Callithrix jacchus: one gene and its partners. The main gene of each other region encodes a partner of the protein of the gene in region 3 in a complex. Links are inferred from orthologs where the notes say so. Each region holds a gene or a part of one and is shown on either strand. Other genes may lie near its edges. The genes, in order: VIRMA, RBM15B, METTL3, ZC3H13, CBLL1 and RBM15.

Region 1 (4,559 bases), on a different chromosome or scaffold from region 3:
CAGAAGGACAACATAGCAAAGTGAGGCCATCAGTGAGATTTACATGAACAAGGCAGCTAGGATGTTATAGTGCTATTCAATGTAGTCATGCAACCCAAAGTGAATTATATAAGAAATACCAATCAAATGGACACTTTGAGGTACAAGGACTTAAAATATCCTTTCTACCAAGTTCCCTTTTTTGTGAAAATAAGTCATACCAGAAAAATGTTCTTTCTTGACCTGAGTCTTAAATGTAACCAAACTGAGTATTTGTTAAGATACAAAAAAGTCTTCCAACATGGGACTTATTCTGTCTGAAAAAAAATCTCATTTGATGACCACTCTGCAAGAGCATGCTGACAAGCTAAAATGACAAGCCTAATTAGGCACAGAAATCTCCAAACATCTCAATCATAATGGGCTTTAAAAGTTAAAACAACTCTCATCAACCCATGAAACCATAAACTGGAAGTCAATAACATAGACAACAGGAAAAAATACTACTACTGTTAGCCAACATCTACAAGCAAAGTAGTCTGAAACACACTAAAAGTGTAGTAGTCTTCAAAAGTTTCCCTAACAGCGAACATATTAATTCAACCAATCACAAAGCTACAAAATTTAAGAATGACTTGTTGTGACCAGTCGTGGTGGCTCACACCTATAATCTCAGCACTTTGGGAGGCCAAGGCAGGTGATCACCTGAGGTCAGGAGTTCGAGACCAGCCTGACCGACATGGTGAAACATCATCTCAACTAAAAAATACAAAAATTTACCAGGCATGGTGTTGTGTGCCTGTAATCTCAGCTACTTGGGAAGCTGAGGCAGGAGAATCACTTGAACCCAGCGGATGGCGGTTGCAGTGGGCTGAGATCCCACCATTGCACTCCAGCCTGGGTGACAGAACGAGACTCCATCTCAAAAAAAAAGAAAAGAATGACTTGGAATATAATGTAATTACAAGGAAAATTAATTAGACCCTAAAAAATACAGAAACAGTGGCACATAAAACAATTACCCAAGGTTTTGAAGGAAAAAAATAAAGCTCTTCAGAGAAACCCATGAATAGCAGGAATAATAAAATACAGATGAAAGCCAAGACTTACATTAAGATACTTAAATACAAAAAAAAAAAGATACTTAAATGCACACACACAGAGAGACAGACAGAGAGAGAGAGAGAGAGAGAGAGAGAGAGATACTATAAAATAAGTATAAATACCTGATCACAGAGAGACTGCAAAATGGATGTGATATATTCAACACACTGTTGGCGAATAACACTGTCTCCAGGAGACCGCACCAAAGCTAAAAGATCCTGGAATATCTCTGCATATCTTTCATCACCTTTAATAGTTCCATTAATTAGATGCAAAATAGCTAATTTACAAGCTTTGTGTGAAGCCAGAGCATCAAGAAGAGCAAGCAACCTGGTGGTTTGGCTAGTATACTGTTTTTCTTTATCTTCTGAAGTGCTGAAATAAAATCAATACATTTAGTAAACAATGTTTTTGATCTTAAGGCATTGTTTAACTACTATTTATTTCTCAATACACATCAACTTACACAAATTTTGCATAAAACATTTAATTCCTTGGATATAATGACAACTTCTCTGGAATTTTACAATTACTGCAAAAATTTTATAAATTCAGGTTTCCAAAAATATATTTTCTTAAATCAGAGTACTTCTTTAGAATTCACCATTTAAAAACCCAAAAAACAAGATTGTCAAGATAGCTTGCACATGAAATGATGAAATAAAGCTTTCTAATTTAAAAAGTCTATAAGTATTCATATATAAATATGTGTGTATATGTAGGTATATGTGTATATTTACATGTATATATGTTAGCTGGGCATTCCAAACCCTAGTTTCCAAATTATAAGGGAAAAAATATATGTGTCAAAAATAACTTGAGGAAAAAATTTTTAATGCAAAATGAAAATACCTTTGCAAGTCTTCTACAATCAAATCCAACACAGTTCTCATAATCAGAAGTGCAGTTGGTGAGGCAAGGTCACACAATTGAACACAAATACGCCGTAACATATGTTGAATGGGCTGGCAGGTTGTGCCAGAGAAAGAGCGAACTATTTCTTGGAGCAACTTTGCTTGAACATGAAGGTGCATGCTCCACAATTTTCGGGTGTTGAGTGCCACTGATATATCATGTGGCTCAATAACCTGTTAAAAAAGTATAATGTTGTGTACGTAGATTTTTTAAATATTTATTTATAGTCACAAAAACTGTTCAGGAAGAACTGTTATGAAAAGAACATTTTTACTGCATGCTTAAAACATTCAATTTTCTATTATACAGTTAAACATTTGCTTGAATTCAATGAGTCTAAAAAATCTTATTGTTCTCAGGTGAGCAGTTAGTTGAGTAGAGTCCATTGGTGAAGCAACCCAGTTATTGGCAAATTCTAACACATAAGGGGGGGAAAGGATTTAAAATAACAGAAATATGTAAGTACAAACATACATAACAGCATAATAAAACTCACTTTAACAAAAATTCACTTAAAATGTTACCCCCGTATTTCCTCAACGACCAACTTGCTTCAGTTTTATCTCCCCCTCATCCAGTTATTTTATGTCTTTTTGGGAGGAAGGGAGATGAGGGTTTTTGTTTTTTAACACAATCACTGGCTTTTAAAAAAAGTGTTACGCAGTCATTTATAAGATGCATGTTATATTGAAGTGATACCTGAGTTGTTTGCATGGGCAATGGAAGAGGCAGCAGCTCTGAAAGGAGTATGAGTCCAGAAAAAAATCCTTCAGGAACCTTCAAGATTGAAGAAAGAACTTCTTTTAACATTAAAGACCAAGTATTATTGGCCAGAGTCTCTTCTGAGATTGTGAGTTTTTCATTAACTCCTTGTGTAAAAGTCAGTAAAATATCAATGATATCATTCTGAATTTTCTGTTCATCACTATCCAAACGACCTGAGAGGGGGATAGAGCACAGGAGCATATGTAAAGTAACAAGCGCTGAAGGAACACGCATGTCCTTAAACTCAAAGGATCCACCTCTCAGGAGTTCCGTTAACATAGTTTTAAGAAGTGTGAGGGTGCAGCGAGCCATTGAAATAGTAGTAACTCTGTGAAGGGTAGTCCCCATGTTGACATGGAGCCTCCAAGGCTGAGTCAGAATACTGTTCAATTTTTGCAGAACTCGAATAAATGTGTCCATTCCTTCAGCAGAAAAAAGCTGAATTACGGCAAGATTCCATTTCAGGTCTTTCTGTTGACCTTTATATAGGATAAGGAAAAGAAACAAAACTAATTATTTATATGTTAAGATTAAGAATTATTAATTATTAAACTGAATATTTAATAAATGATATTTAATTATTTATGGTTTTTATATTTATAATAAATTTTTATAAATATTTATGACAAATGTTTATATTTAATTACACTTAAATATTATAAATAACATTTAATAATTATTAAACTAAATATTTAATAAATGATATTTATTCTAGCCTTAAGAATAGTATTTTTTTAAAAATATAGTAGTCACATTACCTTCAACAGGAGGTGGTGGGCATGCAATATTACAGAGAACACGTAAGGCAGTGGTAAGGCCAACTCCTTCTGGGGTCATCAAGTTATCAATATTCTTTAAAAATAAAAATGAACAAAATGTTTCATTTCTTAGTACCCATCAGATCAACAAAAAATTCCAGACAAGGAATTAGTTAAAAATATGAGCTCCAAGTTAAGAACATATAATATTTTATATTTATTAAGTAAATTTAAAACATGATTAAGGCCCTAGAGCTAAATGAATTTATCAAGATTATTTATCTCTGGCATATGTTGTACTATATGCAATATTATGTAAATAAAAAGAATTGAAATGTACAACCTCATTGAAAAGAACCAACTAGAACAAAGATAAAGAAATGTTAAGAGTTTAAAATGGTTATTTTCTATCCACTCTTTTCATACATCTTCTCTGCCAAAAACGAAGCAATTACTATATTCTTAAAATCCTGTGGGGGCTGGGTGCAGTGGCTCAGAACTGTTATGTCAGCACTCTGGGAGGTTGAGGTGGGAGGATCACTTGAGCCCAGGAGTTTGAGACCAGCCTGGGCAACATAGTGAGACCCTACCTCTACAAAATATTTAAAACTCAGCCAGGCATCATGGTGCATGCCTATAGTTCCAGCCACTCAGGAGGCTGAAGTGGAAGGATCACTTCAGCTTGGGAGTGATCATATTTAGAGTAAACTATGATCATGTCATTGTACTCCAGCCTGGGCGACATAGTGAAACCCTGTTTGGAAAAAAGTAAAAAGCCCTGTGAGTATTAAACTTCCTTCAAAACTGAGGAAGCAACAGGGAATGTTTTTGGCCTACATGACTTAAATTTTTTTAAATACAGATACCAAGGGAGTCTAGTTTATTGTAGCCAGGTGGGGCACAGGTTAGAGGAAAAACAAATAAAATTGCCTATGTCCTTAGCACTTGCCTATGCTATCTTTCTAGGTAACAAACAGTTTTGCTTCAGTTTTCTTAGCTTTCACAGAATAGCATGGTTTAAAAACTTGGGGCCAGGTG
Region 2 (5,222 bases), on a different chromosome or scaffold from region 3:
GCGAGTAGAGTCCAGACTCAAGCCTGCAGAAGTGAGGGGCCAAGAGCGACCCCTGCAGCAGTGGTGCTGGAAAGACGACATAGGGCATTTGTGTACATGCACTAGGGAAGTCTTTGATTCGTAGCTTGATTAAACCAGGACTCTGAACAGGTTTAAAAATCCATCCTCTGACAAAGGCTTTACTGACAACTTTCCATACAGTTGGTCAAAAAATAAAAAAATACAGAACCACAGCAGACAGTATCTTGTACACTAGAAATCAACAACCGGAGTCCCTTCTCATTGTTTAAAAAAAAAAAAATCCCCCAAACCTAAGAACTTAGTTTTGGTGGCGGAAAGGACTTTGATCCCCACCCAAATGAACCAAAATAACCCAGGAGAGAATTCAAACCAAACTGGTAGGGTAGAGAGGGGTTCAGATTTTAAAATAACTGCTTTTGTGACACAAACATGACGCTGGAAAAAACAGGCTTGGGCTAGGCAGTGTCTCTGACAATGACTATCACCATGTGTTCTTCTTCTAGCTTGCCCAATGTTCTTAGTGCTGACTGGAGGTACTGCTGGGAAAACTCGCAGGGCGGAAAGGCATAGAGCATGCCTGTGCCATCTCTGCCCTTGGACCCCCCCACTGGCAGGCTGATCACCCCTGCAGCCTGCTTCTGTTTCAAGTAGGAGACCAGGTTCCTGAGAAGTCGCCTCTGCAGACCTGGCTCCACTGTGGGCATCCCCTCAGTGCCAAGCCCACTGGGGGTTGCCTGGGTGGCTAAAAGGACTGCATAGCCGTTGGGGCTCCCCTGCTTGATGCGTCGTGTGACCTCGTCGAGCTTGGGCTGGTCCAGTCGAAGGCGCTGGGCGATCTTCAGCTGGGTCAGCTTGCTCCCAGAAGTGTGGTCTTTGAGGAGACTGCTGATCACTCCCTGATCCCCCTCTAGGATGTGCATAGATGTGGGGAAGCAGCTGTTTTTCAACACCAAAAGCCCATTCCAACCCAGCTGTAATGTCTGAGCGTAATCTGAAAGATTCTTCAGCTTTTTGGTCTCATGTTTTGGCTCTTCAAGAGGCTTGGGCTCAGCCTCCGTGGTCCGGTGATTGCGCTCGCTGTCTCTTGCCTTCTTCCCATGGGAAGAGTCTGCAGCCTCGTGGTGGTGGTGATGGTGGCCCCGTTCCTCGGCCCCATGTCTGCTGTTGCTGAGGGAGTTGCTGCTGGACTCCTTGGTCCCTTCACTGGAGTGGTTCTCCTTGCGGCTGCGCTCAGGGGTGCGGTCCGAGCCCCGCTCTGACTGCTGCCCACTGCCCTTGGTCCTGCTCCGTTCCTCATACGGGGAGTGAGTTGTCCTCCCACGGTCACTGGAAAGGCTCCTCCGTTTCCGCCTCTCTTCCCAGGGCTTGGGTAAACCACGGTCCCCATCTCCCCCCCAACGCTCACCACTCCGGCTGCGCACTGAGCGACTGTAGCCCTCAAGGCTATTTCGGCGGTCGGAGCTTTTACTGGGGCTGGTCCAGTCCCCTTCCAAAAAGGTCCGGTCTCGGTCTGAGTACAAGAGGTGTGGGGGCGTCCTGTCCCGCACCAGGTCGGCGTCCAAGTTGCGGTGCCGGGTATATCCATCTGTTAGCAGCTCATAATGCACAGGGAGCGGTGAGGGCTGGTACTGCTGGGGGTACCGTGTCTCCTCTGCTTTGGCAAAATCCACGCGGAGCCTGCGGTCTGGTCCACCCAAGGGAAAGCCCCTCATTTTAGCACAGGCGGCCTGGGCTGCGTCCAAGCTCTCGTACTGGATATAGGCAAAGCTATCTCCTTTGACATGATCAATGGTCCGAATGCTCCCAAAGCGGTCAAACTCCCGGGCCAGAGCCGCCAGTGAGGTGTTAGGTCCCAGGCCGCCCACCCAGAGACGAGTGGTAGGGTTGGCCTTGCCATAACCTATCTTAATGGGGTTGCGACCAATCACTCGGCCTGACATGGCCACCTTAGCCCTATGGGCCATGTCCAGGTTCTGGAACTTGAGAAAGGCATAGGCACCACCCTGGCCACGGGCAGGCCTCTTGATAACCACCTCCTCGATGATGCCGTATTTCTCAAAGGCGCGTCGCAGCTCCACCTCAGATACGCTGTGGTCCAGGTTCCCGATGAAGAGGTTTCTCGTGGCCCGCTGGTCGTCCTCGGGCATCAGGTCCTCCTCGCACACAGCCGGGTAGCCATAGGGGCGCCCACGATCGTCATACAGCCCGTAGTAGTCCAGGGCCCGCTCGCGGGACAGTCCCACGGCGGCGGCGGCAGCATCCAGGGCGAAGGCTGCGGCGGCGTGGCGGGCGCGGGGCTCTCGCAGGGGCGGGGCAGCGACGGGGGACAGCGAGCGCTGCTTGTACTGGTAGCCTCCGTGCAGCGGCAGGTAGCCGAGCGGGTCGGCGGGAGCGGGCGGTCCTGGGGGAGGCGTGGAAGCGGCGGCGCTGCTGCTGCTGCTTCGCCGGCTGCTCCCGCCGCCGCCGCGCAGGTACACGGGCTCTACCTTAAGCGGGCGATCGTAGAGCAGCAGCTGGCGGGCCAGGGCGTGCTGGCGGGCCTCGCGCGCGTCCTGTGGATGCCGAAAGTTCACGTAGGCCACACGGCCCAGCTCAGGCGTGTGCGACAGGCGGAGGCTGATCTCGCCAAAGCGCTTGAACTGGTGGAAGAGCCGGTCCTCGAGGTGCTCGGCGGGCAGCGCTGGGCTCAGGCTGCTGATGAGGAGCGTCTTGTACTCAGGCGCAGCCGCGGAAGAGCCGGGACCCGTGGGCTCGGCCCCAGGCGGCGGCGGCGGCGGCGGCAGCGGAGACGTGCGGGGCGACAAGCCGGAGGCGCCCGGATCCCCCGAGGCCTTGCCGCCGCGTCCCCCGCCGCCAGCGCCGGAGCTCGAGGAGCGGCCACTGCTCGCACGGTGATTAGCGTCCCCGGCGCCGCGGCTGTCGCGATGCCCGCCCCCGCCGCTTCCGCTGCCGCGGGGTTTGTCGCGGGCCCGCGCTGGAACCGGGTGCTTGGCGCCGCCAGAGGCCTTGTGCGCCGCCCGCCGCCCGCCCGCCTCCGCCTCCCGTTCGCGTTCCCGCGGACGCTTGGCCGACGATGACGAGCCGCGCCCGCTCGGGCTAGAGTCTCGCTCGCTCTGCCGCTTCATGGCGCTGGCGCGGCGGGCGGGCGGCCCGTAGGTTTCTCACAGCGGCGGCGGCGGCGGCGGCGGCGGCCGAGGAGGCAGCGCCCCCGGCGCCGCCATCTTGGACAAAAGGACTCGGCGCGGCGGCGGCGGCGGGGCGGGGCGGGAGCGGCGCCGAGGGGCCTGGCATTGCGTTATCAAGCTGCGCCGACCGTGCCACGTGACTCTGTGGCGGGCGGAGCGAGACACGCGTCGGGCTGCGTCATCGTGCTGCATCGCCCAGTGCCACGTGACCCCCGTGAGCGCCGGGTGAGTGGGCCTGGGCCTCGCGCTCTAGCGCCACCGCGCGGCCCACATGGGCGATGCTTGAGGCTACGCGAAGTGAAGGGAACCCTGAGAGGTACGCAGGACGACCTAACGCTTTGTGCTCCCAGGCGTGCTTTGCCGCTCTGGGTTCAGCTATCTCCTCCCGCAGGAGCTGGAGCCCGCGCTGACTGGAACAGGAAGGAGTGGCGGCTTCCGTGGGCTGTCGGGGTCTGGGGCATTGACCCAGTCAGTGGTGTGTATGTAGTACCCCTCAGCCCCAGGACTAGGCTTTAGCAAACTCCCGTATCACCCTCCTTGGCATCTTCTGCCTGGGATCTGGGGTAACTGCCCCAAGGACAAATGCATGCCCATCTCTAGGCCCTGTCTAGGACCCAAGGCCCACATTCTGGGCATCTTCCACATGTAAGTTCACCTGCTGCAGTCCCCAAAAAGGCCATGAGGACCATGGCTGTGCATGTAGGTAATAACCAAAAGCAGTGACAAGCCTGCAGTTGAAGTTGATGGAGTTGGAATAGACTCTTTAACGCCACTCTTTGGTCCCACCCTCTTCTTTGGCATCTGGGCAGAGAGCAGGCTGGAAAAGTAGAACCACAAGAGCCAAGGATGAAGAGGTCAAATGCATAGATAGTAATGACAGTTAACACAGCTTGCCACACTGACCCCTCACTGGCCAGTACCCTCCTGTTCACCTTCAGGAGGACCTCTTCTCTCCATGTGAGGTGAAGGAAAGGGTGCCCGAGCCCACTGAGGGAGCTTTCATTCATGACAGTTGCTAGAGCCATGGTAGAACCTGATCCAATTTCTGGCACAGAATCCTCGCGATGGGGAAGAGCACACTAAGTCTTCCCCTCTTCCCACAGTGAGAAAGCAGCTCAGGCAGGTGCAGGGGGAAAGGTCTTGGAAGAAAGCAACAAGCTCCATGGCAGCCTGTAAGGCCTCCTACAGGCAAGCTGAGCTTAGGAGACACAGTGAAGCGCTCTGAAGCAAGAGCAGTTCCTTGGAAAGCATTGGGTCTTAGTCCTTCCTTTCAGGTGGTGTCTACAGGCATCTTCACTGAGCCAAGGCTCACACCAACACCTGGGGTTCCTAAGCACCAATGCCACAGAGAGCGGCTTCAGAAGCAGACTCCAGAAAAGACCTGGACCTCAACAATTAATTTAGGGTAAACAAAGGCAAAAAGCAGCTTCCCACCCCCTCTTTTTTACCAGTCTTGTAAAAACTGGAACAGACATCAGAAGTTTGGGATGGACACTAGACCATGAGCCTGAAAGAGCAAGTAGGTGGCCAGGCCAACAGCATCTTTAGAGATGTCAGCACTGACATGCAGTGATCGAAGCCATCCTTGCAAGAAACCCCACTTCACAAACCCTGTCTTGCTTGTACTGAGCCCCAATGTAAGGCCCTCTAGGAGGAGTGTATCCCAGACTCACTCCTCCTAGAGTGTGTGGCCTCCAGCTCTCCTCCGTTAAGGTAGGCACTCTATCAAGGGGCAGGTTATCAAGCCCAGCCCTGCCTCAGGCTCCTTTCTGCTGAGGTGCTTGCTGCCCTCTAGTGGCAGACACCCATGCACATCAGCTGGCCTCGGCCCCCATGTCTTGCACCTGGTATTTTCAGCACTGGTGGGTTGAGGGACAAATGGGAATGAATATCCCCCAAAACCCTGCAACTGGAAAGCATAAACTGGTAGGATCCTCATGGAGCAAAACCCTATTTCAGTACTCACTTTAATTCTTCAAGGACAGCTAGAAATTTTTTTTCCTTTAATAAAAAAAT
Region 3 (5,062 bases):
TGCCTGTAATCCCAGCTATTCAGGAAGCTGAGGCAGAGAGTAGCTTGAACCCAGGAGGCAGAGGCTGCAGTGAGCCAAGATTACATTAGTGCACTCCAGCCTTGGCAACCCAGTGAGAGACTGTCTCAAAAAAAAAAAAAGGTATCTTAGCTATATTATATTAGATAGTTATACAAGCAGGGAGAATACAGACTTATGGTCAAATACATTAAACATGTTTAGCAAGGACCTTGATGAAAGTACCAAGGCTCTAGTAATTAGGTCTGCATACAGCACAAAGTTTGCTTAACACAAAAATGTAGTTAGAATTAGGGAAAAATGCAATGAAACTTAAAATGACCAACAGCAATTAGAATCACCCATTGAAAGAGTATGAATTTAGAAATGGAAAAGTATAAAGTACAATGAAGAACAATTAAAACCAAAAAGCAACAAATACCACCACGGATAGAGGATAGCCTGTCACCAAAATGACAGAAAGATGAACACAAAGTAGTCAATGATATAGTACACTGATATAGTGGCTTTTCAAAAGTTAATTTTATAGGCCAGGCATGATGGCTCACGCCTGTAATCCCAGGACTTTGGGAAGCTGAGGCAAGTGGATTGCTTGAGCTCAGGAGTTAAGAGACCAGCCTGGGCAACATGGTGAAATACCCTCTCTACCAAAAATACAAAAATTAGCTGGGCATGGTAGCACATACCTGTGGTCCCAGCCCCTTGGGAGGCTGAGGTGGGAGGATCACTGGAGCCCGGGAAGTCCAGGCTGCAGTAGGCCATGATCATGCCACAGCACTCCAGCCTGGGTGACAGAGGGAGACCCCGTCTCTAACTAAATACATAACTAAGTTAATTTTGCAGATAACTTTTGCTGAAACAAACAACTACTGAATCCTCAGATCTCCTTTTCCAATTGCCATTGCCAAAGGGGAAAGATTCCATAGGAAAATTAAATAGGCTGGATATGGTGGCTCTCACTTGTAACTCAAACACTTTGGGACGCTGAGGCAAGAGGACAGCTTGAGCCCAGGAGTTCAAGACAAGCTTGGGCAACATAGTGAGACCTCATCTCTATTAAAAATTTAAAAATTAGCCAGGCATGGTGGCATGCACCTATAGTCCTAGCTACTTAGGATGAGGCAGGAAGACTGCTTGAGCCCAGAAGTCAAAGGCTGCAGTGAGGGGCTCCTACCATCACACTCCAGCCTGGGCAACCGTGAGAAACCTTGTCTCAAAAACAAAAAAAGTCACTGGCATAATTTATGCACATTTTTAAAAAGTTTAGAAACGGGAAACCAAAGAATAGGGAAAAAACAAAACAAAACAAAAAATTGTATCTATAAAGAAATCAGGCCAGGCACAGTGGCTCACGCCTGTAATCCCAGCACTTTGGGCGGATCACCTGAAGTCAAGAGTTCAAGTCCAGCCTGACCAACATGGAGTAACCCCATCTCTACTAAAAATATAAAATTAGCCAGGTGTCGTGGTAGTAGTATGCTAGCTACTCAGGAGGCTAAGGCAGGAAAATTGCTAGAACCCGGGAGACAGACTGCAGTGAGCTGAAATCATGCCACTGAACTCCAGCCTGGGCAACAAAAGCAAAACTCCATGGCAAAAACAAAATAGAACAAATCAGTGAAGTTTATAAAGCAAGAAGAAAAAATTACCCCTCTTAGGGTAATTCAAGAACTACGCCAAAGCTTGACTACTAATTATTGGCTGATGATATGACTTGCACTGTCTACTCTACTACCCTTCCCTCTTACCTCTGTAATTATCTAGGTCAGCCGGGCACGGTGGCTCAAGCCTGTAATCCCAGCACTTGGGGAGGCTGAGGCGGGTGGATCACGAGGTCAACAGATCGAGACCATCCTGGTCAACACGGTGAAACCCCGTCTCTACTAAAAACACAAAAAATTAGCTGGGCATGGTGGCGCGTGCCTGTAATCCCGGCTACTCGGGAGGCTGAGGCAGGAGAATTGCCTGAACCCAGGAGGCGGAGGTTGCGGTGAGCCGAGATCGGGTCATTGCACTCCAGCCTGGGTAACAAGAGCGAAACTCCGTCTCAAAAAAAAAAATTATCTATGTCCGACATATCCATAAAGGCCAAATTCAAATGCCAGCTCCACTATGATGGCTTTGATGGTTTCACTACCTACACCAGAGCTCAGTTACTTCTCTTTCACTGTGAAGACTGTAGATTCATTCAATTTCATACATATATATATATATATATATATACATAGACACACATATAACATATATCCTATCATATTCCTGACTTTTTAAAGCATCTACCCTTGAAACCTATGCCTTTTAAACTAAAGGACAGGGGCAATTTCTTACTTATTTTTGTCTAATTAGACCCATGTATACTGTAGGTACTCAAGAAAGGATACTTAATTATGGGAGGATCCCGGCAGCGCACTTTCTAGTTCTAGGGGTCAGAATATGAGCACATGAACCTAACATAATTGAGACAAGATTGAGAGATGGAGTTCAAGATACTGGAACAATCTGCCACAAAGGTGATATTGAGTCACTATTTTTGCAGAGCTTTGTTACTAGTTTGCCTTAAATAATTCAGAGTTTGTCGTGGGGGTAGGGAGTGGATAAGAGTTAACTTAACCAGCTTTTAAATTTCCTTCAAAGTTTTATGATCGTGACATGGGGCAAAAGGAGGGGAGAAAAAGTTTAGAAACCAAACACAAATGTTTTCAGATTTTTGCTAGGTATGTAAATGGCTAAGTCAATGTCGGTAGGGGTACTCATTCAGAAACACGGAGTGCCACTTTGTACAGGCCACTAAACTGGTCACTGTGGATATGAAGGTTCATTCTTTGCTCACTGTGCCCACAGCTGCAAAGAAATGACCACTACAAAGCAGTCGTTATTAATTGAGGGAACAAAGCGCCATAGCGGCAACAAAAAAGGGGTCTTGCTGTTTCGCAAGATAGGGGGCTGGGAGGCCTCAAAGAGGCAACGTCCTCGCAGTCTGAAGAGGGAGTGGGCAAGGCGGACGAGGGTGGGGCTCAAGCGTCGGTCCGGTAAAAGTGAGCTGGAAGAACCGAGGCCCAGGGTGAGGAGGAACCGCGAACTACTTGCAGAAGGGCGAGGGTCTGTGCTGCTGAATGGTAGAGGGAGTAACCCCATGTACGCGGCTTTATAGAAATAGCCGCTTGGTAAAGGACATTGACTCTGGAGCTTTTTCTCTAGGGATCCCTCCCATACTCCCCGGTTGAGCTTCGACCCCAACAGCCCCGTGCCTCACCCAAGTGCCCCGAGTCCTGCTTCCGCCTCCGCTGCAGCCTTTCCCGCAGAGAGTCCAGCTGCTTCTTGTGGGCCTGGATAGAGCTCCACGTGTCCGACATCCTAGTCTCCCAGCCCTGACGCCTCTCGAATAAGGCGCGCCGGACTAGCACCTCCCAGCACTCGCTCCAGGATATAACCAATTCTCACGCGGGCACCCAAAGGCTAACCGGAAAATGACCCCTAGAGATGAGCAAGACCGAAAAGTAATTTCCGGTGTCGCGCTTTCTTGGAAGCTATAAAGAGAGCCACGTTAGGTGTTGGCAGAGCGGCCGGTATAGTCCTTATACCCGCTCTCTCATGCTTCCGGGCACAGTGAGGCTGTGGTTGCCATGTTGGTGACTGGCAGAGCGGCCATATTGCTTACAGATGCGCATGCGGCCATGTTGAATATTCGGAGAGGACTTCTGAGAGTTGACCCATGTTAAAATAGCACTCGTAGAGAGCATCACCATGTAGTACGGATTTTTTTTTTTTTTTTTTTTTTTTTTTTTTTTTTTTGAGACGGAGTTTTGCTCTTGTTGCCCAGACTGAAGTGCAATGGCGCGATCTCGGCTCTCCGCAACCTCCGCCTCCCGGATTCAAGCGATTCTTCTGTCTCAGCCTCCCGAGTAGTTGGGATTACAGGCATATACCACCACGCCCGGCTAATTTTTTTGTATTTTTAGTAGAGCCGGGGTTTCTCCGTGTTGGTCAGGCTGGTCTCGAACTCCGACCTTAGGTGATCCGCCCGCCTCGGCCTCCCAAAGTGCTGGGATTACGGGCGTGAGCTATAAGCGCTCTGACGTACAGAAGTTTAAGATGAAGGATCACTTGTTCCTTTTGACAGTTGGATGCTAACATACCTTTTCCACTGAAGACGTGGTTTGTGTCTATTGCTTCATTTACAAAAAAACAACGGTGGTCCCCAATCTGAGGTGGGAGGCCGTAGAGGGTGTGCGCATTTTTCTTTGTGTGCGGGAGAGGCGTGGGGAAGTGAGGAGGGCTGAAGGAAAAATACGAGAGTTCAAATACGTGATCTCTCTCTTAGGCTGAATTTACAAAGTACGTATAATCGATTAAAATAGAGTTCCGGGCCGGGCGCGGTGGCTCACGCCTATAATCCCAGCACTTTGGGAGGCCGAGGCGGGTGGATCACGAGGTCAAGAGATCGAGACCATCCTGGTCAACAAGGTGAAACCCTGTCTCTACTAAAAATACAAAAATTAGTTGGGCACGGTGTTGTGCGCCTGTAGTCCCAGCTACTCGGGAGGATGAGGCAGGAGAATTGCTTGAACCCAGAAGGCGGAGGTTGCGGTGAGCCGAGATCGTGCCATTGCACTCCAGCCTGGGTAACAACAGCGAAACTCCGTCTCAAAATAAATAAACAAATAAAATAGAGTTCCGACACTAAGAGGGCTTTGAGGTCCTGGTTGCGTTGTGTTTTTTGTTACGAGAGCTACTTGCATGAGTGTGTTCAGTTTGTGAAATGTAATTGAGCTGAACATTTTGGTATGTGCACTTTATGTGTAGTAAACTTAAATACAAGGGTTGTTTTTTTTTTCCTACAATCCTTTTTTTTTTTTTTCTTTTTTGACACAGAGTTTCATTCGTGTAGCCCAGGCGGGCGTGCAGTGGTGTGATTTCAGCTGACTGCAACCTCCGCCTCCCAAGTGCAAGCTATTCTGCCTCCCCCTGCCCGGTGGCAGGTATTACAGTCTCCCACCACTATACCCAGTTAATTTTGTGTTTTTAGTAGAGATGGGATTTTATT
Region 4 (4,559 bases), on a different chromosome or scaffold from region 3:
GATTAATATTTTAATCTTTCATTAACTGTATTGTCATCTCAGTAGTTCAGTTTCTCCAGCACTTTTTTTTAACTGCTGTTATGTAGGTTTACTGAATAGCCATCTTTATTGTACTCTAATTGTGTTTATTTTATTTCCTTGAAAGAAGTTTTATTTTTTTTATGTTTTAAATTTTCCCTTTATTCTAGTGTATCAGTTATCTCTTGCTGTATAACATACCACCACATAAATTAGTAACTTAAAACAACCATTTATTTGCTTATGGTTCTGTGGATTAGTGATTTTGCCTGGGCTCAACGGAGTGGTTTTTCTGCTGGTCTCAATTGGAGTATCTCGTGTATCAACATTCCATCTGACAGTGCAGCTGGGCCTGGAGGCCCAGGATTGTCTCACCTGTGTGTCTGCCAGTTAGGGCATCTTGTTTCTGCTCCGCTTGACCTCCTGGCCTTCAGTGGTCTAAACTTGGCTTTGCATGTAATGGTAGAAACATAACAAGAGGACAGAAGCTGAAGCGGCAAGGCCTCCTGAACCCTCTTCACATTTGCACAGTGGCACTTTCACCACATTTTCTTGTCGTAGCAAGTCATTAGGCCACTTCGATAGGAAAAATGGGGAAATAGTCCGGCTATTGATGGGAGAGGGGCTTTGGATAAAGCAGTACACAAGCTTGGGCCTGTGAGTTGTCATATTATACCTGGGGCTGTCTCCACATGGTTACTCATCTATATAAAGGAGCTGTCTAGGATATACATGTACTGTAGTATGTTTTTACTTTCTTTTTATTTCAATAGCTTTTGGGGTACGAGAAGTTTTCGGTTACCTGGGTGAATTCTGAGATTTTCGTGTACATTATACCCAACTTGTGGTTTCTTATCCCTCACTCAGCTCCCACCCTGCCACTTCCGAGTCTCCAGAGCCCGTTGTATCTTTCTGTACGCCTTTGTACCCAACATGTGGTTTCTTATCCCTCACTCAGCTCCCACCCTGCCACTTCCGAGTCTCCAGAGCCCGTTGTATCTCTCTGTACGCCTTTGCTTACTCGTAGCTTAGCTCTCACAAGTGAGGACAAGTTGCTGCAAAAGACATTCTTTTGTTCCTTTTGTTGGCTGAGTAGTATTCTATGGTTCCATGGTGTATATATACTACATTTTCTTTATCCACTCTTTGGCCAGTGGGCACTTAGGTTGGTTCTATGTCTTTGCAGTGTGAATTTTGCATATAACAACTTCTTTATAAAGTCATAATGACTCTTTTTCGTATAATGACTTCTTTTCCTTTGGGTAGATAACCAGTAGTGGGACTGCTGGATCCAACCTCTCCTTTTAGTTCTTTAAGGCCTCTCCATACTGCTTTTCATAGAGGTTGTACTAATTTATATTCCCCCCAGCAGTGTATAAGCATTCCCTTTCACCATGTCTACGCTAGCATCTACTGTGTTTTGACTTTGTATGGCCATTTTTGTAGGAGTAAGGTGACATCTCATTATGGTTTTAATTTGAATTTCCCTGATGACTAGTAGTTTTGAGCATTTTTTCATATGTTTGTTGGCTGTTTGTTTGTCTTCTTTTGAGAAAGGTCTACTCACGTCCTTTGTCCACTTTTTTATGGGATTATTTATGTTTTTCCTGCTGATTTGTTTGAGTTTCTTATAGATTCTGAATACTAGTCCTTCGTTGGATGTATAGTTTCCAAGTATTTTCTCCCTTTCTATGGGTTGTCTTTATTTATTTTGCTGTGCGGAAGTTTTTTAGTTTAATTAGGTTCCATTTATTTATTTTTGGTTTTGTTGCATTTGCTTTTAGAGTCTTGGTCATGAAGTCTTTGCCTAGACTAGTGTCCAAAAGAATTTCCCAGTGTTAACTTCTAGAATTTTAATGGTTTCGGGTCTTAGATATAAGTCTTTGATCCATCTTGAGTTGATTTTTGTTTGAGGTGAGAGACAGGGATCCATTTTCATTATTTTACATGTGACTTGCCAGCTTTCTCACCACCATTTAGTAAATAGGGTGTCCTTCTCCCAGTTATGTTTTGTATGCTTTGTTGAAGATCATTTGGCTTTATTTCTGTTTCATTGGTCTGTGTATACAATATGTTTTTTAACTTTTGACCATAGTATTTGTAAATAAACAATGTTAATTTAAAAAACAGGTGGTCAGATTTTAATGAAAAACAGCTCATTTAAAGCTCAACTAAGGAACAACAAATATAATCAGCATGAATTATTTTATGAATTTGTTAATAAGTAAGTGATTTCTAAGAAGGGGAAAGGAACTGATTTTACGGTGTATCCACAACCTATCTGGCACTGGGTTTATGACATAACTAATTTGTTCCTCACTGCAGTTTTATGAGATGGACCCCATTTCTCACCCATTTTCAGATGAGAAACTGAGGTTCAGCGACTTCAAGGAACTTACTTAAGGCTGCGTGATAACTAATGTAGTTAGAAGTTGAACTCACGTCTTTTTACCTTACAGCCAATGTTAGATTTCCTCATTCAGCCCTGCAGCATAAGGCATTTTTATAGCCTAAGAATGCAAAATTGCGAATGTTTACATTACAGGGTACATTGATATATTGATTTCTGTGCTACATGTTACCCCCTTGCAGTATTTAAATCTGGCAGTTTTCACTTGAGTGGTTCTACATATATAATGAAGAAAGAAGAAATGTTGTTGTTGTGTATTTTAAGTTCACAATTCTTAGCAAATGAAGTAAATAACTTTTATTAAAGACATTGAGAAGCCTTTGTATGCTACACCTCTGACAATATTGCTTTTCTACAGTTATGTATTCCAGTTATAGTAAAGAGATACTAGTAAAAATAGAGAAATCTGTTTTTGGCCTCTAGAGTTTTATAAATTGTGTTTGCTTGCCCATTCAGGAAGCGCTATAGAAATGAAGGGAGTCCCAGCCCTAGACAGTCCCCAAAACGCCGCCGTGAACACTCTCCGGACAGCGATGCCTACAACAGCGGAGATGATAAAAGTAAGCAGATCCTGTTTCCTGTTTTTCTCTATTCACGTTCATTTGGGACCAGGAAACCACCCTTTCAAACTCCTAGGAACTGATGAATTGAGACTTTTAAAAGGTTGTCTGGCTTTGCTGCCTCTAAATGTCTCCTTTTGTGACTAAAGTATGTGTTAGAGTACTGTAATTTTATTTATAGTAAAGCCATATTTTTATTTTTACCAAAATTATTGTCATTCTAAAAGTTTTAAAATGATCTCAATCTCTTGATCTCATGATCCACCCACCTCGGCCTCCCAAAGTGCTGGGATGACAGGCGTGAGGAGAGACTGCCTTATTATTTATATGTGCCATGCGGTGTTTATTAACCTGGCGAGAGTGTGATCGCTTTTATCTTTTATATAGATGACAAACATAGACTCTTGAGTCAAGTTGTACGGCCTCAAGAATCTCGTTCTCTTAGTCCCTCGCACCTCACAGAAGACAGACAGGGTAGATGGAAAGAGGAGGATCGTAAACCAGAAAGGAAAGAGAGTTCAAGGCGCTATGAAGAACAGGAAGTCAAGGAAAAAGTTTCTTCCATAGATAAACAGAGAGAACAGGCAGAAATCCTGGAAAACTCAAGAATGCGTGCACAGGACATTATAGGACATCACCAGTCTGAAGATCGAGAGACATCTGATCGAGCTCATGATGAAAACAAGAAGAAAGCAAAAATTCAAAAGAAACCGATTAAGAAAAAGAAAGAGGATGATATTGGAATAGAGAGGGGTAACATAGAGACAACATCTGAAGAGGGTCACGTATTTTCACCCAAAAAAGGACAGAAAAAGAAAAGCATTGAAAAAAAACGTAAAAAATCCAAAGGTGATTCTGATATTTCTGATGAAGAAGCAGCCCAGCAAAGTAAAAAGAAAAGAGGCCCACGGACTCCCCCTATAACAACTAAAGAGGAATTGGTTGAAATTTGCAACGGTAAGAATGGTATTCTAGAGGACCCTCAGAAAAAAGAAGATACAGCATTCAGTGACTGGTCTGATGAGGATGTGCCTGACCGTACAGAGGTGACAGAAGAGCATGCTGCCACCGCAGCTACTCCTGGTAGTACCCCTTCTCCTCTGTCTTCTCTTCTTCCTCCTCCACCACCTGTGGCTACCGCCACTACTGCAACTGCGCCTGCAACTCTTGCCACGACTGCTGCTGCCGCCACCTCCTTCAGTACCTCTGCCATCACCATTTCCACCTCTGCCATCCCCCCCAATACCACCAATAATACTTTTGCCAATGAAGACTCACACAGAAAATGCCACAGAACACGAGTGGAAAAAGTAGAGGCACCTCACGTGACTATAGAAGATGCATCGCATCGCAAGCCTGTGGATCAAAAGCGGAGCAGCAGCCTCGGGAGCAATCGGAGTAATCGTAGTCATACGTCTGGTCGTCTGCGCTCCCCATCCAATGATTCTGCCCATCGAAGTGGAGATGATCAAAGTGGTCGAAAGAGAGTCCTGCACAGTGGCTCAAGAGATAGAGAAAAAACCAAAAGCCTGGAAATCACAGGAGAGAGAAAATCTAGGATTGATCAGTTA
Region 5 (5,043 bases), on a different chromosome or scaffold from region 3:
CAAAGCAGTGGTTTTCACACTTAAATTACAACCCATGAGTGTACTTCGACATTATTCTAGTGTATTATAACCAACGTTTTATTTTTTAAAGGGACAGATTAAAAACAGCAGAGAGCATTGCATATAAAAAGGGTAAGTATAGTTTCATGACACTTAAATATATGCTTAGGTGTTGTGAGTTTATGTGTTGAGCTATGATATAAAATGTATGTCTAACAGTGAGAAACATTTATTTAACAGCAACAATTTACAAACCAAATAGACCAGGTGTGTTTGTCCTTACTTGGTACTGAGGAGTCTGTAATAGGGTATTGGGGAAAACAAGTTCTCTGATAGCCCTCTTAGCTTTCTCATAACATATACAGTAACTATGTAAATGGAAGTCTATCAAAACATCTTGGAGCCCACTACCTTATAATTCATAGGTAGTAGCTAAAAAGGTGCACCTCAGTGCTTCAGACTATTCGTTACAGTAAGTTTTCACTTTTGTAAACCTTAGGTCAGTACCGAGCTATATAAATAAATATTAATGATGACTCTTCATAAAGAAGTTGTGAATAGTTACAGCACACCGGTCGCTGAAACTACTAATAAAATGTAAGTAAAGAGATTAATTTATCACACTGCTACTGCATTGGTAATTAAAGGCAACCACAATTAAGGGGGAAATGAATACAGACCACAGATGCTAAAGCCATGCATGAAAGTAAGAGATGTCAAATCAAATCCAACAAATGTTTAACATTTTATCAGATCTAAAATAAGTAAATCTTCTTTCAGTAAATTTTCATAACGACGCATCATAAAATACCCACAAAACTTGACTTAAAAATTATATAAAATACATTTTGAAAGCTTTTTAATTCAAATTATTTAAATATTAGCATCGGCAAACACAGTATTATTGTGAACATGGATTTGCATGAATCAGAAGTTTAGCTGAAAAAGTATGACAGAACAAAAAAAAAAATCAAAGCCAGTGGTGGTGATGAGCATCTGTAGTCCCAGCTACCGGAGGCTGAGGCATAAGGATCCCTTGAGTCCAGGAGTTCAAGGATGCAGTGAACTATGATTGTGCTATTGTACTCGTTTCTGCCGCCTCATCTCTAAAAAAAATTTTCTTAATATATGCAAAAAAGGTACTTTCTAGAGGAAAACTTTTTAAAATACTCCAAATTGGTGAAAAATGCCTGACTATATCAACTCTGTATTTAGAAATTAGGGAGGTATAGGGAAAAGGTTAGGCAAACTCCAATGCCCAAAAAAATAATTTCAGAAACTGAAAGCATCTTGAAAACCACTTAGCAATATAGAACTTTACATTTTAACAAAAGCAGGGATAATTTTGATTCACAAAGGTCCTTCGTTGTGAATGTACCTAAAAACTTGTTTATAAAGCTGCCTATATGCAGTGGAAAAGTCTTTTACAAGATCTCAGGAAAATAACCACTAAATGCATGGTGCACTTATATCGCACTGATCATAACAGTATGACTCACAGCTAATACCGTGCAAATACAAAGATATAACACATTGGTACTCATACTTTATTTGCAATTCAGTACCATGAAAACATTTCTCTAAGAGGTCAATATAATATTTTATTAATCTAGGAACTCTGGCACTGAAAGCGTGAATAACCCAAGGTGATGATGTCGTCACCAAGGGACGACAAGAATAGAACCCAAATCCCTTGACTCCCCAAGCTTGTGTTTTCCATTAATTGTGCTCCTTTCTATTCATCCACGAGCATCAAGCGTGAAAGGCTGGAGAAAGGACTAAATACAAAAAAGCCAAGTCCGCGAGGTGGAGACTGCACTGAAGGTCCTAGGAATCGCCCCTTGGCACTTTCCTTGTTTTGGCTGAGGAAGATGAAAGCAGCAGCAACCACAAACCCCTGGGACCAAGAACTGGAACTAGGTACTGCCTATTGTGGTATCTCTCTTCCTCATTTTAGGCCTTTCCTTTTTAACCTCTCCTTCTGGCCAAGCCTTGGCGCTCTCTTCCCTTCCCTCGGCTTCCATCCGCTCCCCTTAGCTCCACTCTGCACATTCCTGCTAGGTGTCCCCTTAAGAGGAGGCAGCTGCGCCGCCCAGGTTCTCCATCCTCCATCCGGCACAGGCGCCCACTCCTCGGGTGTTCGAGGGGTTAGTAGCGTCACAAGCGCTCTCCCTAGAAAGTGAGTGGCAGTCAAGCATTATGAATGTATTTCAACTGTAAAGAGACAAGTTGGGAACAGGGGCATATACCAAGACGGCTCTGCGTGAGTCTAGGTAGCTCGTCACAACAAAGCAAAACTTAAGACAATAAATGTTGCGACTTTCCTTCTAGCTGCGAGCTTCACAGCTCAGCCATCCCCTGAGCAATCTCCCACTGGAGGACGCCTTCCGGAGCGCCTGTGTTTACACTTTTCCTACACTCAGTGGAGGCAACAAGCGCTCCCGGACCACGGGGGATTCCAAACCGTTACTCCGCCCGCCGGGGTGGGGCCAGCACAACGGCCGAGCCTGCGCAGCCGGCAGCCGGCTTCGCGGCCCCCGCGCACTACAAGTCCCAAAAGGCAGCTCTCCGCGGGGGCGGGCAGCCGCCTTAGCTGCCGCGGGCTCATTTCTACCACTGCTCTCCCTCGCCCTGGTCCTCGCTGGTGCCCTTTTCACAGTTAAAGGCTACTTTTCCTTGAAGCACATGAGGAGAAGCCTTAGCGACCTCGCCACCGAACTTCGCGCGCTCGCTTTTTCTGCCTCCGCACCAACTATGCCTGAGTCCCTCACAGGAGTTGGGTAGTGGAGGCGAGAGAAGGAAGTCTTTGTAGACCAAAGCTGGGACAATCCGCTCGGACTTCCGCCTCCCGGCCTCCGGAAGGCAGTGCGCAGGCGCGGGCTGCGACTCCGGCGCGGTTGACTTCCGTTCCCACTGTGCTGTGCGAGCCGAATCATGGATCACACTGGTAAGGAGGCGGAGGCAGTGGGGGTCCCGGTTCCATGCCCCCTTGGCCGGCCTGGGACTGGTCGCCCAACAGGCAAAAGGGATTACGCTCGCCCCACAACACTTGAGTGTGGCAGTGAGAAGAAATCTCACAGTTGCCTTCCCGTGCCCGGGAGGGGCCTGCTGCTTCCTGGCCTACCCTCTGGTGCGGTACCTACCTCCTTGGTGCCGGCAACAGCCGCTCCTCTGTTTCTGCTGAGCTCCGAGCCCGGACCGGTGGGCGGCGTAGGCCTTTGGGAAGGGAGAGCGCCGGCTCTGTTTTATTCAGCCCAGCTGCTCTGCCCTGCATTATGGGGACTCGCGGGTAGACTGCGGTCTCGGAGTCGCGGAATCCGCTGGGAGTGGACGGGCTAGAGTGGGTTGGAGACTTCCTGCTGTCTCAGTCAGCTTTGGGCGGGTGCTGCAGTTGTAACCTCCTGTCGTCTCTCCTGTCCTTCATGGACTAGAGAGGTGAAAGAAAGGAGTGGGATATAGTTTTTGGAATCAAACTTGGTGGAGCTTTTCTGCCTAAACCAAAAGCATGCCCCGCGCTTCGGCTGTGGTCCTTACTCATCATTTGAGGGTATTTACAAAGAGGAGCTTAAAATAAAGACATTTTCATCCTTTTCTCCAAGTAAGAGTAGCTCCACCCTTTGTTATGTGTTTTCTGGCTTTTGCTTCTTTCTGGTTCTTGGATGGTGAATGTATGCTATTGGAATTAACAAGTGCCCCATAGAGTTATAGCGACCATATCACAAATAGAGAAAAAGTATTTTTCGTAAGTATTGAGTTGTCCTCACTCATCATATATCTATTATATAATTAGGTGTGTATGTTTGTTTATGCCAGATACATACAGATATGTATAGGTCGGGAGATGGAGGATGGAATGGTAAACAAGACGGACCAAGTCCCTGATAGACCTTCTATTTTATGGAAGAACACAGACAATAAGTTCTTTTTTATTGTTTGTTTGCAGATCATAAGTGTTTTGAAGAAAATAAACGGGTGTTTTGGAGAGATTCATAGGAAGAAATTTCAGAGGGTTGTTAGGAAAGGTCTTTGTGGCAGGGTAACATATAAGCTAAGATCCGATGGATGAGAAAATCCAGTCCTGGGAAAAAAGCAGGAGGAAGAGCATTTCCAGCAAGTGCATAGGTGCTGAGTAGGAAGATGTAGCGAAGTTAGCTGCAGCCTAGTAATAGCCAGAGAGTTGAGTCCTGAAGTGAGATTGGAAAGGAGGGCAGCCGTCACATTCAGGTCATTGAAAACCATGGTAAACGGTTGAATTTTATTTTAAGTGAATATGAAGGCATTGAACAGAAGTAGAGGAAGAACACAGTCTCTTTAAACAATGTAGTAGGCTGTTCTGTGGAGAATGGTGTAAGAGAGGGAGGTAAGAATGTTGGAAGATAGGTGATTGCAGTAGACCGGAAGGGAAGGTTGGTTTGGTGGAAATGAAGGAGAACGGGCAGCTTCAGTAAATACTTGGGTAGTGTTTGGAGGAATGTGAGAGAAAGGAGAAATGCCTACGTTTTTGGTTTGAGCAGCTAGGTAGTGTCCCCATTATTGAGTTGAGGATAACTCGGGGGAGAAAACAGTCCTTTTTTTGTAGAAGTGAGACAGGAAAATTTGGGAATAAGTGTTTAGTCTTGGACTATTTAGTGTGAGACAGCTGTTGAAACACAGGAGAGGAGATGTCAAGTGGAGATGAAGGGTTAAGAACTGCACTGAAAATACGTATTTGGAAGTTAGTACCTTTATTTATAGCTGGTGTTTTAAAGCATGAGGACAGATGAACCATGTAAGAAGGGTGTGCTGAGAAGGGAACCCAGCCTAGAACCAGGCTGTAAAGAATTCCGGTGTTTGGGAATTTTTATAGAGTTGAAACTCTGGAATTTTCATGTTAGAATAGCAAATATTCAACTTTAGGAAAATCTTATTTGAGCCCATGACTGGTATTGTGAGTCAAGTTCCTGCCATGGTTGAGAGGCTATTATGTTAGGAAGTCACAATGGGGTGGGTGTAAAGAGTGCTATCTTAATTCTTGAAGTTAAAAGATTGCCTAAGGAAGTAAAA
Region 6 (5,169 bases), on a different chromosome or scaffold from region 3:
CTCTCAGTGGGAGCAGCTGTCCGGTGCTTCCTATCTCGTTCAGCTGATGCAGAGTTTTTACGGTCTCGCTTGTCACCCTGGCTTTTCTCCAAACTACCTCGTCTGTCTCTGACTGGAGAAGGCCTTTCCAAGAGAAGAAGACGGGAAGATCGATCATTGTCGCTGTTGTAACGATCCCGACTACTGCTCAATTCTGGACTGCGATCAGGAGAAGGAGCGCAGTGACGCTTTCGTGGGCGGTCACTTTCAGGAGACCTATCCAGATGTCGTCCTCCACTCTCCTCAGGCAGCCTTCGCTTCCTAGGCTGGTCTCTGCTGCTAGGCAGATCTCGATCACCTCTGTCCCGGTCCAAGGACCAACCATCTCGCCTGCGATCCAGGCTATCCAGTGGCTCATAAGCAGGCACAGAAGTAACTGCAGTCCGAGTGCTGCGTTCCCTGACTGGGGGTGGGGGTGGCACCCAATCAGAGTCAGGATAAAGGTCCCTATCACGATCTCTGTACAGTAAGGGTGGTGTCCTATCCCGAGCACCCCTCAAAGGGTCAGGTGCCCGATGTCCAAAGGCATCTGTCACCAGCTCATAATGAGTCAAGGGCAGAGGCTGCAGATATTGCTGCTGGTAACGATGCTCAGTGTCGGCAAAGTCTACTCTAAGGCGTCGATCTGGGCCACCAAGTGGGAAGCCCCGCATATGGGTCCAAGCAGCATGTGCTGCATCCAGGCTTTCATACTGGATATATGCCCAACTATCACCTTTTCGGTAATCTATGGTGCGTATGGTGCCAAATCGATCAAACTCTCGTGCCAGGGCAGCAAGAGGAACCCAAGGTCCCAGGCCTCCCACCCAGAGGCGGGTGGTGGGTGTAGCTTTACCATAACCAATTTTGATAGGATTCCGAATTATAATTTTGCCAGACATTGCTAATTTGGCCCGGTGAGACATATCTAGGTTCTCAAATTTGAGAAAGCCATAAGTACTAGTCTGGCCGCGAGAAGGCCTCTTGATATCTACTTCCGTGATGACTCCAAAGCGATCAAACGCCCTTCTTAAATCACTCTCGGTGACAGTGATGTCTAGGTTGCCCAAGAAAAGCGTCCGGTTGGCTCGCTGATCATCCTCGGGTGAAATCTCATCCACTTCTCTGAAAGGAGCAGCACCTGCTCCAGCTCCCACCCTTGGCTCAAGACTGTATGCTGGGCGCACTCTCTCGTAGAAGGGGTAGTCTCTCTCTCTCTCCAGCTCTCGAGGCAATGGTGGCGGAGGTGGAGGGGGCAAGCGGCCAAGAGCCAACTGCTGCAGCCGGTAGTCTCTGTATCCCAAAGCTGCGCCACCAGGGGAAAGGGATCTCTGGCCTCCACCCCCTCCAGGAGGGTGCCGGTGACCACCTACAGAGGCCCCGACCACGCTGGCTGATGGAGGGTAAGTATCTTTGTCTAAAGGGGAGCGGCTGCGGCGCCGGCTCACATACACAGCTTCTATCTTCAGAGGCCGGTCATACAGCACCAGGCGGCCTCTGGCATGCTTGGCCGCCCGCGCGTCCTCCGGCCGCCGGAAGTTCACAAAGGCTACCCGCTCATCCCCGCTGCCAGAACCCGACAGATGACTGATTTTGACACTTACATCACCGAAGCGTTTGAACTCATGAAACAGGCCGTCCTCCACCGCTTCGTCACTCAGCTGGGACCCCAACTCGCTTATCTTCAGAGTCTTGTATTCCCCGCCGTCCCCACTGCCGGGAGCTGAGGAGGCGGCCCCAGAGGAACGTGACTCCCCGCCTCCACCCCGGGAGCTGCTGCGCGACTCGCCCCCGCCTGAGGAATTTTTGGTGCTCGGGGAGCTATAACTATGCAAGCGGCTACTGGAGCTGCCCCCACCGGTGTCATACTCGCGGCTGCCACCTCGGCTGCTGGACTTGTCTAGGTGCAGACTCCGCCGCGACCCGCCGCCGCTATCTGTCTTTCCGCTGCTGCTCCCGTTGCTGCCACCAGAGCCACCTAACTTCTTGCTCCGCTCCCCGCGGGAAGTCGAGTCCTCACCACCACGGGAGCGTTTGGCCTTGACTGGCGAGCGCTCTTTCCCCTTCATTGTTGCGGGTCGTCGGAGGTCGTCTCCGCTGAGGTGATTAACCCGCCACCCCGCGCTCGTTTCACACAGCGGAACCGCACGCCGCCATCTTGGACTCCGCCGCGGCCCAGAATCCCGCCCCGCAGTCCTCATTGGCCAATTGGCTCTCTCTTCTACAGTCTCATTGGAAAAATTATTTGTCTATCTTTACATCTCCCCGCGCTCCAGGAAGGCGCCCGCCCAACCACTGTTATTGGGTTTCCAAAGCCCTAGTCAGAGCATCTCATTGGTTATATTTGTTGTCTATCTTAACGGTTCCTCGCGCCAGGCTGTAGCTCCGCCCCTAGCGCTCTACGGTCATGTGACCCAAAGTCTGGAGGTCTTCATTGGACGAAAAGTCTGCCCTGTAACGGTACTTCTTACTCGGTGAAAGCAGCAACCCCACCTCCTCATCCCTTTCATTGGCTTATAAACCCGTCCTTTAAACCACTATTTAGGAGGTCGGGCCATCCGCTTCAGCGTTTTTTCCAGAGGCAGCCTCACAGCGATATCGCGAGAGAGGGTGAGCTCCCTCTTTCGACCCCCTTTTCCCAACTCCTCCGGCGGCTAAAAGAAGTTTAAATCTGATTGGATGTCCGCAAGGAAGTTGATAAGCTGAAATAACTGTCCATCACTTGCTTAAAGGGGTAGGCCCGTATAAAGGAGGAGGCTGACTGAAGGTGAAAGACTAGAACACGTGCTTACTGTGCGACGTCACTTAGATGTCGCGAGAGGGTGGCTGTGAGCCAGCCCCGCCTCCCCGCCTTTTCGGCGTCCTCCCACAAACATTTGTTCAGTTCCGTGAGGTACTTAGCTGTGCTTCGGCCGTTGGAGTTCGAAACGTTCAGGCTCCCCGCCATCCTACCTGCGCCGGCCCAGGAGCGTGGCAGGCTCTCCGGCTGTCGGGGCCCTCCAGTCCCTCAGGAAGCCGTCTTGGGACGCCTAGAGGACACCATCTTAGGTCGCTGTGGCCGCTGCGTGAAAAGCCGGGGGGAGCCCCGCCCCCGCGCGCGGGAGAGTCCCGCCCGCGGTCACCCGGGCCCGCTGAGCTAGGAGTTCAAGGTTCCTGCAGCCCCAGGTCACGCCGCTGCCCCGGGGCGGTGCTGCCACAAGGAACTTCAAGAACTTCAAGCTGCGCGGCGAAGAAGCACTCCTCGCTTGGGGGCCCTGCTTTCCGGGGCGCTCCCCGTCCCCTCCCAAGTACTCTGGGTAGCAGAGGGGAGTGACCGTCGCTCCCCGCCTCTTGGCCCGCAGGCGGAGCCGGAACTGTCGGGACAGCGTGGACGTGTCTCTGGGCGGCCTGTTTTATTTTGCGAATCTGTGTGGATTTTTTAATTCTGTTGTCCCGTAAAATACCTATGTTTGTTTTTAACATCTAATGCTTCTCCCTGGAAAGTCATCAAGCGAAATTTAGGTTCCATGCAGATAATGTAACTTGGTTTCCCCGCTGTAACTTCTGGTATCCCCCACACTCCGCTTATTGTATTAGAAGCCAGCAGCGCAGGCACCTTGCGGCCGCTCCAGATCCACCTCGTTTGGCTCCTCCAACCGTCCGCTTTACAACTCTCTTTTCCGTAGAGCATTACTGTGGCGGACAGAGCACCTGTGGGAGGTGCAGGAGATGCCGAGCTTAGTGGGGTACGGCCTCCGCCCCAGCGCTCGCCGGCTGCTGGAGGGGCGCAGCGCTGAGGTCACCGCAGCCGTTAGACTGTCTGCAGCCCTCCCAGGTATCCGCCAGGGCGGAGGTTATGAGGATTCTTACATTGATCGCGTCCTCAACCTATTTCCCAAGATCTAATCTATGGTAGAGGGTGTGAGGTGTTTTTAAACATGACATTTTTCAAGGTAACAATAATGTCCCAAAAGCCGAAACCTAAACTTGAAAACGGTGTTAAGATTAGGAACTGTGGGCCGGGCGCGGTGGCTCAAGCCTGTAATCCCAGCACTTTGGGAGGCCGAGGCGGGTGGATCACGAGGTCAAGATACCGAGACCATCCTGGTCAACGTGGTGAAACCCCGTCTCTACTAAAAATACAAAAAATTAGCTGGGCATGGTGGCGCGTGCCTGTAATCCCAGCTACTCAGGAGGCTTGAGGCAGGAGAATTGCCTGAACCCAGGAGGCGGAGGTTGCGGTGAGCCGAGATCGCGCCATTGCACACTCCAGCCTGGGTAACAAGAGCGAAACTCCGTCTCAAAAAAAAAAAAAAAAAAAAAAAGGAACTGTAACCTAAATTTAGCGGCCGAGCCATCCTTTTGGTAAGTAATCCTGAGGAATGTGAAGGGGCAGGCCTTTTATCCCTTTATTAGATCAAAGAAATTTGAAGGAAGAAGCTCAATGGTAAAGCAAGAAAGTCTACGATATTGTAATGTATAAACATATTCATTGTATTAAAATAGAAAATAAAACCACAAGCCATAAAATAATGTGTATAACATGCTATCATTTGTGGTTTTAAAAATTACATTTGTGAGTATGTACATTTTAAAAATATCATTGCTTGGAAACTTCCGTGACAAATATATGGGAAAGTGTTACTAGGATCGCCCTGAGGCTGGGTGTGACGGTCTGGAATAGGAAGGAGACTTCACTTTTCTTTGTAGAAATCTTTTGTTTTATACAAAAAGCACGCTATTACTCCTTCAGTTTAAAAAATAATTATTTTTAATTTTCCTTAAATTATTTTTATGGAAAAAGTTTAAAATAAAGAATACTATAAAGAATTCCATATACCCAACACCCTATTTCAACAGTTGTCAAATCATGTCAGTCTTGTTTCATCTGCATCACACTTCCCACTCTTCCTTTCTCTATTGTTTTCTCCCAGACTTACTGATACATTTCCTGCCCCAGTTGTGGAATCAGCCATTTCTCCGGAGAGCTCTGATTCCTTTTAGTGGGAAATGATATTTAAAGATAAAAATCTGGATGCTGGTAGAGGGGAAAAAAAACATGAACACATTCTTTGTAAAAGCACGATATAAAAGAAAAAAGCTTTACCTGGGTTTAAATTTGCTTCAAGGTTATATTAATAGACCACAAATGGAAACTGAAGTTAAACCATT

What was found.
Region 1: METTL3 (region 3) and VIRMA share a complex: the UniProt entries of both Homo sapiens proteins name them as parts of the WMM complex. The link is inferred for Callithrix jacchus from reciprocal best matches to the Homo sapiens genes METTL3 and VIRMA.
Region 2: METTL3 (region 3) and RBM15B share a complex: the UniProt entries of both Homo sapiens proteins name them as parts of the WMM complex. The link is inferred for Callithrix jacchus from reciprocal best matches to the Homo sapiens genes METTL3 and RBM15B.
Region 4: METTL3 (region 3) and ZC3H13 share a complex: the UniProt entries of both Homo sapiens proteins name them as parts of the WMM complex. The link is inferred for Callithrix jacchus from reciprocal best matches to the Homo sapiens genes METTL3 and ZC3H13.
Region 5: METTL3 (region 3) and CBLL1 share a complex: the UniProt entries of both Homo sapiens proteins name them as parts of the WMM complex. The link is inferred for Callithrix jacchus from reciprocal best matches to the Homo sapiens genes METTL3 and CBLL1.
Region 6: METTL3 (region 3) and RBM15 share a complex: the UniProt entries of both Homo sapiens proteins name them as parts of the WMM complex. The link is inferred for Callithrix jacchus from reciprocal best matches to the Homo sapiens genes METTL3 and RBM15.

Annotation. Positions count from the first base shown.
Region 1 is NC_133517.1:32,689,104-32,693,662, reverse strand, and holds part of VIRMA (protein virilizer homolog), read right to left. Parts: intron 3,616-4,559; coding exon 3,522-3,615; intron 3,243-3,521; coding exon 2,698-3,242; intron 2,172-2,697; coding exon 1,936-2,171; intron 1,459-1,935; coding exon 1,206-1,458; intron 1-1,205. UniProt on the Homo sapiens protein: Associated component of the WMM complex, a complex that mediates N6-methyladenosine (m6A) methylation of RNAs, a modification that plays a role in the efficiency of mRNA splicing and RNA processing.
Region 2 is NC_133516.1:33,966,768-33,971,989, reverse strand, and holds RBM15B (putative RNA-binding protein 15B), read right to left. Parts: upstream 3,250-5,222; 5' UTR 3,147-3,249; coding exon 477-3,146; 3' UTR 152-476; downstream 1-151. UniProt on the Homo sapiens protein: RNA-binding protein that acts as a key regulator of N6-methyladenosine (m6A) methylation of RNAs, thereby regulating different processes, such as alternative splicing of mRNAs and X chromosome inactivation mediated by Xist RNA.
Region 3 is NC_133509.1:56,009,930-56,014,991, forward strand, and holds the start of METTL3 (N(6)-adenosine-methyltransferase catalytic subunit METTL3), read right to left. Parts: upstream 3,481-5,062; 5' UTR 3,372-3,480; coding exon 3,272-3,371; intron 1-3,271. UniProt on the Homo sapiens protein: The METTL3-METTL14 heterodimer forms a N6-methyltransferase complex that methylates adenosine residues at the N(6) position of some RNAs and regulates various processes such as the circadian clock, differentiation of embryonic and hematopoietic stem cells, cortical neurogenesis, response to DNA damage, differentiation of T-cells and primary miRNA processing.
Region 4 is NC_133506.1:165,173,546-165,178,104, reverse strand, and holds part of ZC3H13 (zinc finger CCCH domain-containing protein 13), read left to right. Parts: intron 1-2,884; coding exon 2,885-2,988; intron 2,989-3,375; coding exon 3,376-4,559. UniProt on the Homo sapiens protein: Associated component of the WMM complex, a complex that mediates N6-methyladenosine (m6A) methylation of RNAs, a modification that plays a role in the efficiency of mRNA splicing and RNA processing.
Region 5 is NC_133512.1:78,201,352-78,206,394, forward strand, and holds the start of CBLL1 (E3 ubiquitin-protein ligase Hakai), read left to right. Parts: upstream 1-1,695; 5' UTR 1,696-1,871; coding exon 1,872-1,920; intron 1,921-2,572; exon of another isoform or gene 2,573-2,934; coding exon of another isoform or gene 2,935-2,947; intron 2,948-5,043. UniProt on the Homo sapiens protein: E3 ubiquitin-protein ligase that mediates ubiquitination of several tyrosine-phosphorylated Src substrates, including CDH1, CTTN and DOK1. Targets CDH1 for endocytosis and degradation.
Region 6 is NC_133508.1:148,189,918-148,195,086, reverse strand, and holds the start of RBM15 (RNA-binding protein 15), read right to left. Parts: upstream 3,313-5,169; 5' UTR 2,220-3,312; coding exon 1-2,219. UniProt on the Homo sapiens protein: RNA-binding protein that acts as a key regulator of N6-methyladenosine (m6A) methylation of RNAs, thereby regulating different processes, such as hematopoietic cell homeostasis, alternative splicing of mRNAs and X chromosome inactivation mediated by Xist RNA.